Arabidopsis thaliana: one gene and its partner. The protein of the gene in region 2 interacts with the protein of the main gene of each other region in a pairwise test. Each region holds a gene or a part of one and is shown on either strand. Other genes may lie near its edges.

Evidence for each region. Proteins that work in one complex are often made in the same cells at the same time.
Region 1: the proteins of LEP (region 2) and TGA7 interact in a two-hybrid assay, tested with the Arabidopsis thaliana proteins (one large-scale study listed by BioGRID).

Annotation. Positions count from the first base shown.
Region 1 is NC_003070.9:29,294,717-29,302,772, reverse strand, and holds TGA7 (bZIP transcription factor family protein), read right to left. Parts: upstream 4,531-8,056; 5' UTR 4,133-4,530; intron 3,983-4,132; 5' UTR 3,933-3,982; intron 3,830-3,932; 5' UTR 3,815-3,829; coding exon 3,626-3,814; intron 3,536-3,625; coding exon 3,446-3,535; intron 3,340-3,445; coding exon 3,280-3,339; intron 3,202-3,279; coding exon 3,124-3,201; intron 3,018-3,123; coding exon 2,712-3,017; intron 2,633-2,711; coding exon 2,402-2,632; intron 2,319-2,401; coding exon 2,166-2,318; 3' UTR 1,828-2,165; downstream 1-1,827. Other genes in the region: AT1G77930 (Chaperone DnaJ-domain superfamily protein), read right to left, coding at 306-524, 610-747, 835-974, 1,054-1,128, 1,346-1,589; AT1G77910 (uncharacterized protein), read right to left, coding at 6,366-6,635; AT1G77890 (DNA-directed RNA polymerase II protein), read right to left, coding at 7,333-7,485, 7,569-7,668, 7,811-8,056.
Region 2 is NC_003076.8:4,479,838-4,486,336, forward strand, and holds LEP (Integrase-type DNA-binding superfamily protein), read right to left. Parts: upstream 3,411-6,499; 5' UTR 3,249-3,410; coding exon 2,613-3,248; 3' UTR 2,291-2,612; downstream 1-2,290. Other genes in the region: AT5G13890 (plant viral-response family protein (DUF716)), read right to left, coding at 103-1,035; AT5G13900 (Bifunctional inhibitor/lipid-transfer protein/seed storage 2S albumin superfamily protein), read right to left, coding at 1,509-1,639, 1,715-2,039; AT5G13920 (GRF zinc finger / Zinc knuckle protein), read right to left, coding at 6,094-6,499. UniProt on the Arabidopsis thaliana protein: Cell division-promoting factor involved in leaf blade differentiation, inflorescence branching, as well as in carpel and silique shape. Promotes the number of xylem cells.

The DNA.
Region 1 (8,056 bases), on a different chromosome or scaffold from region 2:
GGTTTATAATATGATAATTATATTAAAGATTTGGGTATATGCCCTACTCATTGTTGCTCCGTCTGATTTGCTCTGCTTAGGTCTTCTTGGTCATTGCAATTGATGTTTCTCTGTTCTGTTTCTCAGGATGTATGTATTGGTACTTGTCTTATTTTTAATAATGAACCGTGCAGTGAAGATCTTGTAAATTGTCAAATATGATTATCTACATGTATGTTTATACTACAAGAGAGACAGAGAGGGAGCAAGTACCATGTGCTTAATTACTTGAAGTAGCTATAGAAGCTTCCAAAATGTTTGGAATCTTACTTTGCTGCTTCTTCCTCTTCTGCTTCGGTATCAAGCTCGAGACCTTCTGCTGCTAATAGCTGAGTGATGAGCTTTTTCTTATCTTCCTCTGCTTTCTTTCGCATCAGATCTCTTTTCTTCAACACTAGCGTGTGTCGCTTTAAAGTGCTGTTGAATAACTCTCTCGATGCTTTCTTCTCCTTCTCCAATATCTTCCTTTCTTCTTCCGGATCCACCTTAATAAGTTTCAAGATTCACAACAGAGCAGAAGAAAGTTACTAAGTTGGAAGAACAAGCTCAAAAAGACACATTATTTCTTACTTTAGAACGAGAAAGACGACGAGCACGCAGGTTTATATCAAGCTGTTGTTGCTCAGCCCAAGCGGCAACCGCCATGTCGCCCCTTTGATCAAAAGCTTTACGCTTTTTCATCAACCATTCCATCCAAGCTTGAGATGCCTACACAAACCCAACACATGTCATCCTTAAAACAATTTCAGAGGGAAAAAAGAAAACTTCAAGTTTATGACTCTTATATATACATACCTTCATCGGATTAACTCGGTTATCCATATCATATTGTACTTTCTTTTCCGAGTCCATGAGCAGCTCGTATGCAGCCTGAATCTTAATGAATCTTGCTTCTGCTGTCTCTCCTTCTTCAAGAGTCCCCTTTCCATCATAAACTAGACAAACAAAATACAGAATCAGAAACAGAGTTACAACTTTGTGACGACAAAGTGCTCTAAAGATCCAGAAAAGTACCATCAGGATGATAGAATTTGGCTAATCTTCTGTATGCTACCTTAATCTGTTCTTCCTCTGCATTTCTATCCAACTCTGTTACTCAAATTCATACAACATAGAACCATATCAGAAACACGAAACACAACACAAAGACTTCTTGTCAAATTCTTCTGACACAAGTCACAAACAGTAACCAAAACAACAGAACCACTCCAATGAATCGAATAGAATCACAAACTTGTGAATCAACAACCACATCAAAGGAAACTGTAAGATACATAAAATTCCCGAATTGGTAGAAGAAGCTTACCGAGAGTATCGTAAGGAGATTTCTCTTGGCTCCAATTCGATGCTCTAACTAGAGTCTTCCTCTGATTCAAACGAAACCAAAGATTCGAATTTTTAGACCTAAACCAAGACGAATTCGAACTCTGGTTTCTAAAGGCGACGTTTTTAATCGAAACCCTAAAAAGTGATCGACTTTGATGTCTACTACAACACACAATCGAAGAGAACACAGAGTATGGTCTACAGATAGCTCGAAGATTGCTCATAACTTCAAGTTCCAACCCAGAAACCGATCAATTTCGTAAACCCAGAAATCAAAATTCATATAAATCAAATTCCACCTCTTTATATGAACGAACAAGTAAGCTCACGAAAATGAAATTCCTGAAAAATCCAACCGAACAAGAGACTTCTTCTTTACTCTTTTCTTCAATTGAATTTTCTCATTTTCCTCAGAAAATTCCAACGGAAGTTTTTTTGTGGACGACTGAAGCGCAACGATGGGAAAATTACAATAGTACCCTTTGATTTATTGAGTTTCACATTAGTCCCTTAATAATACATTAAATATACATTCAGTACACATATTATCAAATTGCTCAGATTTCAAACTTATTTGTTGTATCTAAATATATTACAAAGTTTCAACCCAAATTTACAATCTTCTCTGGAGAGATACTTCATAAAGCAAAAACCATAAAGTTCTAATCAAGAGAATCTCACTCTACTTAATTAACAAAGATCTTTTTTAAAACATCCTTCCAAGCTTTGTGATGAGTATGCTTCTTCAAGACTTTTGATTCTGCTGTTTCTTGTTTTTAAAGTTTTAATAAGTTCCTCTTTTAAGTTGGTTCTTGTGGACGAGCTGCCCAAAGAGAACTAAGAGCACGAAGTCTATGAAGATACTCTCCTAAAGCTAGTAAACCTCGAGCCGATTGTCTTGTCGTTAAGATCTTCGCCATTTGTTGCAAAGTTTGTTGCCTCAGATGATCTGCCTGTTATAATCAGGATAGAGATGTTTGAAATAGAATGACACAAACTTTACTTAATTTGTTTTGAGTTAATGTTTACTACTTACTTGATTCACAAATCCTTCTAATGCTTGAAGATTCTCTATAGCTGCAGCCATGTGAGTGGGATAATGCGTGGACTCGATAACCGCATCAATCACAATGCTTTCAGCTAAACTCTGTTGAAGTTTATCAATCCCTTGAGACAGAGCATCCTCTGCTTGTTGTGATGATTGTTGGAGGTTTCTCACTTCCAAGATTTGTTGATCCGTTAATGGTTGAAGATAAGGCATCACAACCTACAAGAAAAGGGAAGGAGAAAATATTACATTTTGAAAATGTTTTTGTTAGAGATTGTAACATTTTGGGTATTTTTACGTTTAAAAGTTCGGATGGACGAAACCCTCCAATCCATTGGAAGAATCTTTCGGTTGAAGTTCGCCACATTCCCGATATCAAGTAGAAAACATCGGCTTTTGCTGCATCGGATTTCATTTGGAAAAGATTAGCGTAATGGTTCAAGCAACTCTCTACTAGCATCTTGAGTTCTATGTCGCTTATATGAGATTGAAGCGCTGTTCGTAGTTCGCTAACTCTTCTGCTTTGTTCTTGTAGCCAGTGTGAATATTCCATCTCAAATGATGCAATCCCTGTGTTAATACTCCCAGATGGTCCTAAATGGCCCTTGAAAGAAAACATTTAGTACTGAGTCAATTACGAAACCAAAACTGATTTTCTTGATAGAGACTCAAAACAGAACATTTTAAACATATCTTTTGACCTAGCTCACCTGCTGCTTAACCTTTTCGAGTTCTTGCTCTAACTGCGATAACTTTAACCGGCTTTCCTCTAACTGCTGAACATAAGCCTAAAGATACAAAAAAAAAGAGGACTTAGTAGCAACTAACTAAACTATATGAGATTCAATAAAGGGACTTGCTTCTACCTTCTTTCTCAAACGACTTTTGCGAGCCGCTTCTCGGTTCTGCGCTAAACGCCGTTTCATCTATTGGCATATGACAAAAGAATATCAATCAATATCACAAAAACCACCATTTTCTATTATGCATGTATAAAAAAGAAAACATAATTAGCTTTGTTTTGATCTAAACCTTATCATGAATCCTGCCATCATCATCTTGATTATCATTACTAGAAGGTTGTTCTGCTTCGATCTGGTTATGAGAAGAATCATAATTTATCTGCACGTGATTTAAAAACCCATTAGTAAAAAAACAAGTAACAACAACTTTCAAAAATCAATGAATCTTGAAAGAAGAAAACTAGTTAACCTTGATGTTGTTGTTGTGATCATCAATTCTAGGATCAACCTGAATAATAGAGGAAGTAGCAGTATTGGGACTATGATCATTGATATCAGATTTGAAAACATTTCCCCAACCGACAATTTGTTGAAATGGCTCATAGATTCCCATGTCTCTTAAAGATGCAAGTTGTGTTGGAGAAGAAGAACTCATCATCTCTATATATATCCTCTACATATCAAACCAATCATAGTTGGTAATTTAGAATCTTTCAAAAACATGCACAAGAATAGATCAAAGCAGAAAGAAAAAAGAAAGTTTTGTGTTGCCTCACCTTCAGTTATAGATCCAATAGCTGGCTCTTAAAAATTGCATTTGCTCTCACTGATACAAACCATAAACAGAATAAACTCTTAATCATTTTTAAAACTAATATAAAGTTTGGAACTAAAAAAAACACACGAGAAACTCCAAATTCTCCAAGATCCAAACGTTTCAAGTGAAAAACAGAGAGGGAGGGAAAATTTAACAAACCTTGATCGATAAGCAGAGATATTCATGAAGAATTTGAGAGCTGAAGAGTTAAAGATGCTTATGAAACACGTTTCTGGTTAATACAGAGATATTTTTCATTCGGACCACAGACATCAAATGGAAGAAGAAGTGTATTTCGTTCCTTTGAACACTTCCTGTCACAAAAAAAAAAAACTTAAAGGTCAAGAGTTCCCATCATGTAAAAGAGAGGAAAAAAGGATTTTTTTTTTTTGTTTTGGTCTTTTTCTATTTCATTTATTTGTGACCATCACGGCATCACCATTAGAGTAATATTTAAGTTAAAGAATTAATAATAGTAATCAAGTTTATTAAGAAATAATCACAATCAATTTAAAGGAACGAAACGTTTAACGACAAACAAAACGCAAGAGAGAGATGCATCTTTGGCAAAGCCGAGAAGGTGACCTTATCGTGCGCTTTAATTTCTGAGGTACGCACGACGTGATGTCATCTACCAAGAGCTGAAATACCTTCCGATGTCGACACGTACCAAGTTCAGTCGATTATTCCGGTGGTGTATAATTTATTTGCATTCCAGAATTGGAAAGAGTCTTATGTTTTAGGGTTCAAATAATAAATAGTTTTAACAGAACAAATATACTTTTCCCCCGTTTCTTTAAATTTTGGTATCGTGGGAAACTTTTGATTTATTGGTTGATCAAAGATTTAGTGCTTTTGACAGCAGCAACAGATTTTCTTAAACTATAGACAAGTTCGAAGTTTATCATAAATGTAGTGTATATAGAACCGTACGTTTTGTAGTATATATATAAATTGAATTGTCATATATGTAAAATCGTTTCATATGTTTCTATGTATGTTACGGCGATTTAAACATGTCGTAAATGATAAAATGATCATGATTTATACTATAATTAGAATATCTAAAGTTGAAAAGATTCATCCTTTTAAATATAAATATATATTCATAATCATAGCCCGAATTATCGTCTAACTGATCATGACCAATCCATAATTTTCGAAACCATTTTCACATCTTTTTGGACATGCACGCTGATGGGTCTGCAAAAGAATCAATGTCTTTTTCCCTATAAGTTAGGTTCATATAGGTGGTACAAAGATGTAGGATTTTCTTTCTTCAAATTTTATTTTATCAACGTTATGTTTTTATTTTCTTTCTTTTACAACTTTAGGTTTATTTTGAGGGGACCATAAGGTTTATGCAGTGGCGTCTTTATGCTTAGTCTCCTTCCCTGACTTAGTGACAAATAATTGGAGCTTTAATGGCCTACCAAACACAAAAGATAACATTTTTAAATCTCTTTATTATTTTAAAATTAGGAATCTTAATTAGTTCGGAACCACTTGTGTAATAAAAATCTGTGTGTTCGACAAAGACAAGCATGTTTGTTTATTTTCTTATTCAGTTTTATTTCCTCTCTTGGTTTTACTTTAATAAAGAGTCCCTCTATATTGTTTTTCCAATCTATATACTATAATAAATATGAATCGGTGCGGTGATACGCAAATAAATAAATACAAGAAAAGCAACAATATTGTATGATCCTGTCAGAATATCAATTGGCATCGCGAAAGATCATATATAGTTTGGCTTGATTTATTGGTAAATCGAAGTTCTTAGAAACTTACCGAGCTAACTAAGCCTTGGTCAAGAACCTAGATAATTTTAAAACTATATGCATGCATTATAGATATCATTGTTACGTCTTATAGTTGATGAAGAAAAAGAAAGTATGATTACAAAAGTTACGTACACACAATTCTACTTTAATTCATCACGAAGACACCGATCTTCCACTATTTTCATTATCTTCTTTCTCCTTTTTTTCGTTATGACTACAAAAGTTATGCATTTTATTGCTTTTCTCGTTATCTTCTCCGTACCTTTTTTAATCTCTTATTTCTTACATTCTTCTCAAGTACACTTTAAAAAAATATATCTTTCAAGATTGATATGGATTGCATTCTACTATTTTCAGACTATATTTTGCACCAGAAATAGTTTCTGTTTGTTTCCCGTTTTCTTGAAAAAAATAGTGGTTAGAAAATACACTTGAAACCAATCTAGGTGAATAAAACATGAAAACTTGTTTTTAGGTTTAAACCGCCGTAGGAAGAATAATCAAAGATATATCGTAACTGAGCAAATCAAAATTTCGAATCTATCATGCCCTGATGAGATTCTTGTGCACGCGAATGATCGATCATCAGACGTTCAAAAAAGGAAAAATTAAAATTCGAATATTTGTAAAATTGCTTCATGAAGAATACATAGTAAATATTCTCCATAAATTACAAAACAAAGAAGGAATATAAGAAAATCTATTAAAGGAGGCATATATATAAATATATATTTATATACTATAGTTCCTTTTATATAAACCGCATGTCGTTCAAAGATTCGAACTTGAACTGAACTGAGATTGATTCTCTTATTTCGCATTCCGAAAAAATGAATACATATTCTTTCATGTTGGTTAAACATGCAGTACAACCACATGATTAGTAATAATAAACTTTTGCTACAAAATCTTAAAATGAACACAGAATTTAAGAGATTAATATCTAAACTCTTAATATTATCTCCTTTGACTTACCGGAAGAGAAGCAAAAATAAAAATAATAATTTTTTTTGTTTCTTTCATAAATTATGAATAATTTAAAAGCAAAGGAAGGTGATGGGCTTCTTTTATCATTGCTTTTGTTCCCATTGTGTGGTATGAAAAAAGGAGCTGATTTTATTTGTTTGGTGACTAAGAATAAAAGGAGTATTTTTTGTTTTCTAATTGATAATTGTTATTGTGGTGTCCTTTCCTTTTAAAGACCAAACAAGCCGGAGGATATTCTCACGTCACACAAGTGCACATGACCTTCCTTCATTGTTGTATCATCAAACTCCATTAGGCAGATCAGTGACTCATAATGTCACCATATTTACTCCATTGCCTGCTAATTTACATAATTATCTGTGTTTCATAATTACAGAAGAAGGTATCAAAGATTTAAATAATAAAGCTCCATATGTGGTTTTTCTAAGGTATCACTAGAATTGAGGATGCCTTGGGTATGAACAAATGACATATCGACAATCTGGGTTCCTGCCAAAATGTATTGTCCTGTTTTCGTGAATCACGGGTATTAAAATAAACGTGTCGATAGGAATTAAAGAAAAGTAGAACTTGTTTACCTTGAAAGGATCAATACTTGTTGGGATGATTAGGTTGACGTGAAGAATGAGGATACTCAACCAAATTCCATTCACCGATAGAGTTTTTATCCTTTTTAACATCAGGAAACTCCACCATGTAGCTTGGATCTCGATTCGGAACATTATAATAGCTACTGTTCCACTGCAAGCCAGTAGGGTTAAGATCAGGACTTCATTTGGAGTATATACTCCATAACTCTAGTGAGAACTAACTAAAAGTCATACCGTTGTTGGCTGAGTATGAGAACTGTTAAGCAAGGTGCTGGAACTTGAGGAGTTCAAATTCCACACGGATTTGTTCGGCTCGTGTCTTTGCTTGTTGGAACTGTAAACGTCAGAGGTGAAAGTATGAAGTGTCTAAATTCGGATACAAAGCTATAGTGGACAGGTAATCTAACTTTTTTTTCTCTGTATATGTCAGTCTCAAGCTGTATAGTCATATGAAACAATGTAATCTGCCGCTTTACCTTGACAGCCCAAGGGAAAGACCAGACTGAACCTCCTTGAGTGAAGATAATGTAGCCAGCAACTTTGCAAATGTTTCAAAAGTCGAGGTTCCGGAAGGAACTTCCAGAGACAGGGACCTGTATCCGTACACAGTCAAGTGAGCCACGCTTTGCTTGAGATGTGCAATTCCTTGCTGCAGATTTCTGAATGTTTCAACGGAATGAGGAGAGGCAGAAGAAAGGCTAACAACGTCAAGGTCAAGGTCA
Region 2 (6,499 bases):
GAACAAACAAAATGGGATAAAGACTTGTCAAAGCAGCAACAAGTTCCAAAAGAGTGACTGAGAGCTTACAAAAAAGGCAAAGCGATAGGATTTGATAAGGTTTCAAGCCTGAGTGCCTGTCAACGACTTCATCTGAATGTGATTAGAATCAGCATTGTTAGTCGGCAAAGCTTCATAAGAACCAGTTCTTCTCACTCCGGCCGCCATCACCACCATCGTGTAAGTCACAAAGATGAGGATAACCACAAGCACGACGTGTACAGTGAACATTAGATCCAATATAGAAACAGCTCTTAGCTTAGAGTCCTGAATATCACATTGGGTTGATCCTTCAACACCGCTTTGAACATCAAGAAGACGATGACATCCCTCAGGAATAAACCCATCAACGTAGAGAGAGAGTCCAGTCTGAAGCTGCCAGAGACCTTGAAGACAAATGGCAGCAGCGAGAGCAGCGTCAGCAATAAAGAGTCTTGAACGGCAAGCGAGAAGCAAACAGAGGAGAGAGCATAACGCGGAGATACGAGCAGAGAGGGAATCACAATGAGCTTGAAGATCAGATGTTTGAATTGCAGCTGATGAAGACGCGGCGGAGTAATGGAGGAAGAAACCAACGGAGGCGAGTGCGAAGAGGAGATCGGAAGGGAGAGGGATTAACGAGGTTGAATCGGAGAGGAGATAGTAAATGGCGATGATGAGGAAGAGGAAGAACACGGCGGCGGAATTGAGAGATGAGAATCGGTGAACAGGAGTACTTCCTTTGACGAGAGGATCGGAGTAGAAGGAGATTAGGGTTTCGTGAAGGAAAGCGACGAATAGAGAGAGTATGAGGATGAACAGTGGTAGATTTTGGAGGCGGTTGTGATTGTGGTGGTTGTTTCCGGTGACGGAGGAGAGACGTGGAAAAGGGTAAAAGGGTTTCGCGGCGTAGGATTGGGGAGATTTAAGGAGATGGAAGAAAGTGCAGATGAGATGATACAATCCTAGGGTTAGTAGTGACGCTGAAGCGAAGAGCTTGTACATCATCTCTCCCATTTTCGAAGCTTGATTTTAGGGTTTTGTTGTTGTTGGTCGGGATTTGTATGACTGATAAACTTTCTCCGATCTGCTTAAGAGAGGTAATAGAGAGGACGATCTGGTCAACTGCTCCTTTAAGTTGACCGGTTAGTATTGTTAAACCAGCTGACTTTTTCGGTTATTTGACAATTAATTGCACTATTTAAACCGGTTTTATAATGGATTTTCCCGGTAGTTGGTAATTCAATATTGTATTTGTCAGGAAGAGATTGATTGGTGCTTGATTTGTTGCAACATGACTACATGAGCATGATGTTTCACATTCTTAACTAATAGAAATGGATTTAGACTATTTATGGGGACGAAGTGGTACATACAATGTGTTGGTGACGACCAATAATCATAATTAACTAATAGAGCATTAAAAAAACAAAGAATCAACCGTCTTAATTAAGCAAAGCAAAGCAAAGCTGCTATAGACAATGAGAGATTCAGCTAATTATGTGATGGCAATATGACAAAACAGTGGCTGCAATAGCTAATGTTGTCATCCAATAGGACTGAGAAAAGGTGTTGCCAATGGAGGAACTTCGGTCTGAGTTTGTAGATCCTCCTCTAGAACCTGCAAGAACACAAAATATTCATGAAACATCTTTTGATTGAAAAAAAAAGAAAGAACTAAGGTTTGAGTGTGTACGAGTCAAGCAAGCAATGGGATTGACATGTTCTCCACATCGAGCAGGCAACATTTGAGCATCATTGACATCGATGCCAGCTCGCTCGGCTTGAGAACTCCAACGGTTACTAATCATACGGCACAAGCACTCTGGATTGTTCCTTATCACTGATTTGAGAGGATTACAACAAACTTGAGGTACTTCCTTGGTCCCATTCAGGTAATTTAGGCATGGAGCAAGTTGGTTTAGACACGAAACGCTCTGCCCATTTATCCGCATCCCCGAGCTAGCTGCAACTAGAAGAAGTACAACGTAAAAAGAGAAAAACTTCATCCCCATCATCATATCACCTTAGTTTACTATTTTGAGTGTTACTAAAACACTTTTGTACTTGTTTAATTTTTATGTTTGGTGACCAGCTTTTAAGATAGGTAGACATGGTTCACCAGTCAAACCTACTACCACCGTTTGACCATCCTCAACAGGTAAGTTACCAGAAGAACCCATCAAATATGAAATAATTTTACATTACGTAAGCAAATACCAAAACCACAGAAGTAGAATAACAAATTGTTATTCCATCCTAGAATATAGTTCTCGTTCAACCATAAGAAAAACACACAGAGGTTTGGGCTATACAAAGTATGTCATGCCAACTAATAACCCATCGAATAATGGGCTTTTGATGTCCAAGGCCCATATATATTAAATATGTATTTGAAAGTAACACAAGAGCAGTTTCTTGTTTTCATTAATCAAGATACAAATGATAACTTGTTATTGAAAAACTAATGACAAACAGTCACTTTGATCACATAGGCAGAGATCAAGGACGGCGAAACATAGATAAACCCAAAAAAGAAGAAGAAGGAAAAGGTACAAATGAGGAAGGTATTAAATATGGACGATGAGAAAGAATTAGGAGCCAAAGTAGTTGAAACCTTGAGGGAAAGAGTCAGAAACCGGAGGCATTCTGCTGAACATTGGACTATGTACGTACTCAGACGAGTAGTCGTCACCGGTCCAGGTCCACTGTGGTTGGCTATAACACGAATTCGACAAGTCGCTCGGGAGAGGAGGCAGCTCATTACTACTGTCATTAGAATAGCAATAAGAATTCGAAGATTGAGAGCCACCAAACATGTAACTGTCCACTTGATCACAATGAGGCTGAAGCATTGGCGAGTCAGTGGATGAGTATTGGTTAAACATCATCATGTAATCGACAGGATCATTGCTAGGAGGAGCAGGAGGAGGTGGAGGAGGAGGAGGATCGTCAGGAGAAACAATGGAGGTGACGGATGAGGAAGGAGGCATGTCTGAGTAAACAAAGTTGGTTCTGGCACGTGTGCCACGCATGGACCGAGCAGCTCTATCGTAGGCCAAGGCAGCTTCTTCCGCCGTATCGAAAGTGCCAAGCCAGTGACGCTCCTTCGTAGTTGGGTCTCTAATCTCAGCTGCGTATCTTCCCCAAGGCCTTCTTCTCACCCCAAGAAACCTTGTACCAACCTGATCGTCTTGCTTCTTCTTGCTCTTTGATGATGTTGTGTTCATCTTTCTAATAATGATACTATACCTTTATGCATACACAGATCAATAAATGTCCGATATATCTATCTTTTTTCTAGTTGAAGGAAGAGAGGGAATGTGTGTTGGTCTTGGAAAAGTATCCCTTACCACAACCCTTTTATATAAGAGCTATACCTTTCCTTTTTCTCTCTCTTTTTTCATTGTGTATAATTCTTTTATATATCTTTTTATTCCAATTGAAACAACATTTAAAAATGGCTCTGTGTTGAGTTAATTGTGGCCCATGATATATCAATTATCAGTCAATCAAAAGTATATAATTATGATTAAGTTACCACTTGATAGCATGTTTCATGCATTTCTCAAGGTTGTTCTACACTAGTGATTTCATTTTTATACATGGTTAATTCTGCTAAAATATAATGCTGAGTTCCGACTGCCTTTAATCATACAAGTGCTAATATATCAACTCAATCAATTACAATAGTAATACATAAGAGCTTCTTTTTGTTAGGTGATGTATATATTAGAGAAGAGAGTGAAAGAATAACAAAGAAATTAGGATCATTATCAAAAATAACTTAAACAAATACAATCCGTTAGCATATTATATATAAATATCGATAGATACACATAATCATCATTCATCAACAATAATAAGCTGAAACAAAGGGATTAGGAATGATAAGAGCCATGATTAGCATGTTACCTTAGATACCAGTGTCCCGAGTCTAATAATAATAACATGTCCGAATTGATTAACAAATTAACGAGAGATAACGTAATAGATAAACTATTCAATTCAGAGAATATATTTGGTATAACGCGTCCAAATACTACTGCATGTGATGGTCCATATTGAATGATGGAATGTGCATGAACTGCGAATTTAACATGAAAAAGAGAAGCAAACCCTGATTATTGCATATATGAAAACGCAAACACTTTCCGTCTTATCAATCATACAACACATAAAAAAACAATGAGTTTGGTGTTTTGGTTAAAGTTAATAATTGGTAAAGAAGGGTGCAATGATGGCCGCATGATGGAAGGTAGTCGACTAAATTATGAGGAGGAAAGTCATTACTTAAGCAGCTATTATATCATTATATGTGTATTAATCTTGTATTACTAATACGTCAGAGTAGGGTTTTGACTTTTGACCAACACAAAATTAAAAGAGTTGAAGTCTCATGCATTAGAGAGAGATTATGATATTTGATATGAGTATCTAAGGAAGCAAGTGGTAGCCTTTCTAAGACGATCTTATTTTGTGTCAGAGGAAGACCAAAGACCATTTATGTTTATGTTTGGCTACACGACCAACGTTATGGACGGTGATAGTGGATCGTATCATTTCTTAATCTTTTATAATATATACGTCCCATTTGTCTACATGTACAATAATCACAATGTGTGTTAGCGTTAATTAATTAGAGATTAGTCAAAAACAATATAGGGGTAGTGCATGTGCTCCCAATTTTATAGGCTGCAACTTCAATGAATATTGCCACACCCTTTTTCTTTCATCTCCCACTTTCTAATCCCAAGGCATCTATCTATTTCCTTATAATTTAATCATTTATGTGTTTGTCCTCTTGGCTATGAATATGATATCGTCTCTTCCTAAATTCAGTTTCTCAAATTATATATATTCTGACCAAAATACTCCATTCATATTCATTTGCTATATACTATTTTAAAACAAACATGCATTATTGAGAACAAAGGAATTTGGGTTGCATGTGAGCAATCTTTTATGCTTTTGAAATTTTATCTTTAATCTTAATTTCATTGGAGTAAACAAGCCCTATAATTTATGTTCCCTCACTTTTGACCAACTCTCATTTTTCTCGTTTAATTTTATATTCTAAAGTCCAATCTTGATGCATTGAATCTTGTTTACATTTACGTTCCGCTTCTATTCTCTATCGCCTCTTATTATTCTCCGATATCCACAGACCACAGGTTTCTTTACTTAATTAGTACTACGTTCTCATGGTCTACGGTGGAATATTAGTACATGTAAGAACTATATAAAATGTATCAATGGACAAAATATTTATACGAATCCTACTTAATTAGGATTTAGGTCAAGAGCCCTAATTAAGCCCTCCCAGTCAGATCACCGCCTTTTTCACTACCATCACTACTCTTAAGTGACTTCGGCATTTGCAATACCATTCTCGAACGTTGTATGTAACGTCCTCGAACAACTGGAGATATACACAAGCTGACAAGTGAACACATGCATATCCCAATTCTTAACTATATCAGTTTTATGGAAATTGGAAGGATGTTTTGTTCTATGGTCCGAGTCTCAAATTGACGAAACTAGCAATTCTCTATAACTCATCTCGAACTATTCTTGATGCAAATAATTTGATGATCAATTATCTGAGGGTTTGGGCCTCTAATTGTGTTAGTTTAGTAGAAACTAGAAAGAAAAAAAAAGGGAAGAAAGAAGAGAAGGCATGTGCGCCCAACGTGGAAAGGCATTTTCTTGGACGCTTAACATAATTAATCCTTTTTCTAATTATTGCCTAACACAAACATCTTTTGTCTTACTTAAATCTAATTACTCTTTTAATCAAACGACCATGTGATGAGCGCACTAAGTAGATTCATAATTCTCAACCACATTCAAAAGTTAAAAACAAAGTATGTCTGCTTTTGGCTCATCTAAACCTGAAGGTGACATGGGAGAAAATTTAGGGGCACGAGCTTTGCAGTCACCTATCAATTAATCCATTAATCTAACTAGTCTATACACGTTATCCGATGAAGAAGTGTAAAATGTTGGAATTGCCGAGTTAAAATAAAAGATAATTACCTTCCAACACTTGCAAGGGCACTAATATGCAAATGCTCAGGTTCTTCTTCTCTTTAGACCAACAAACTCATTTTGCTTAAACACTTCTACTTCTTTTCCTAGTTTATCTGCAGTTTCCTGCATCCTCTTCTGAGACTCAGCCATTTCTCCAGCCACTTCCCTGCAACTTGCTCCAAATTTTAATGTCTCAGCTTCACAACAAACCATCTCCTTCTCTGTTTCAAGTAAAGTTTTCCTGAGATGACTAGTTTTCTCATGAAGTAACCTTAGTCGCCTGTACGAAGCCATAAATTCACTCAACATTTGTACATGTTTCCCTGAAATACTCTCCAATTGAAGCTTCTCTGAGTTGTACTGATCAATTAGGTTCTGCAAGCAAGGGAATGACCACTCAGCTCCATCAATTTCAGGTTGCTCATGGTTTGTCCTTCCATGTATCACA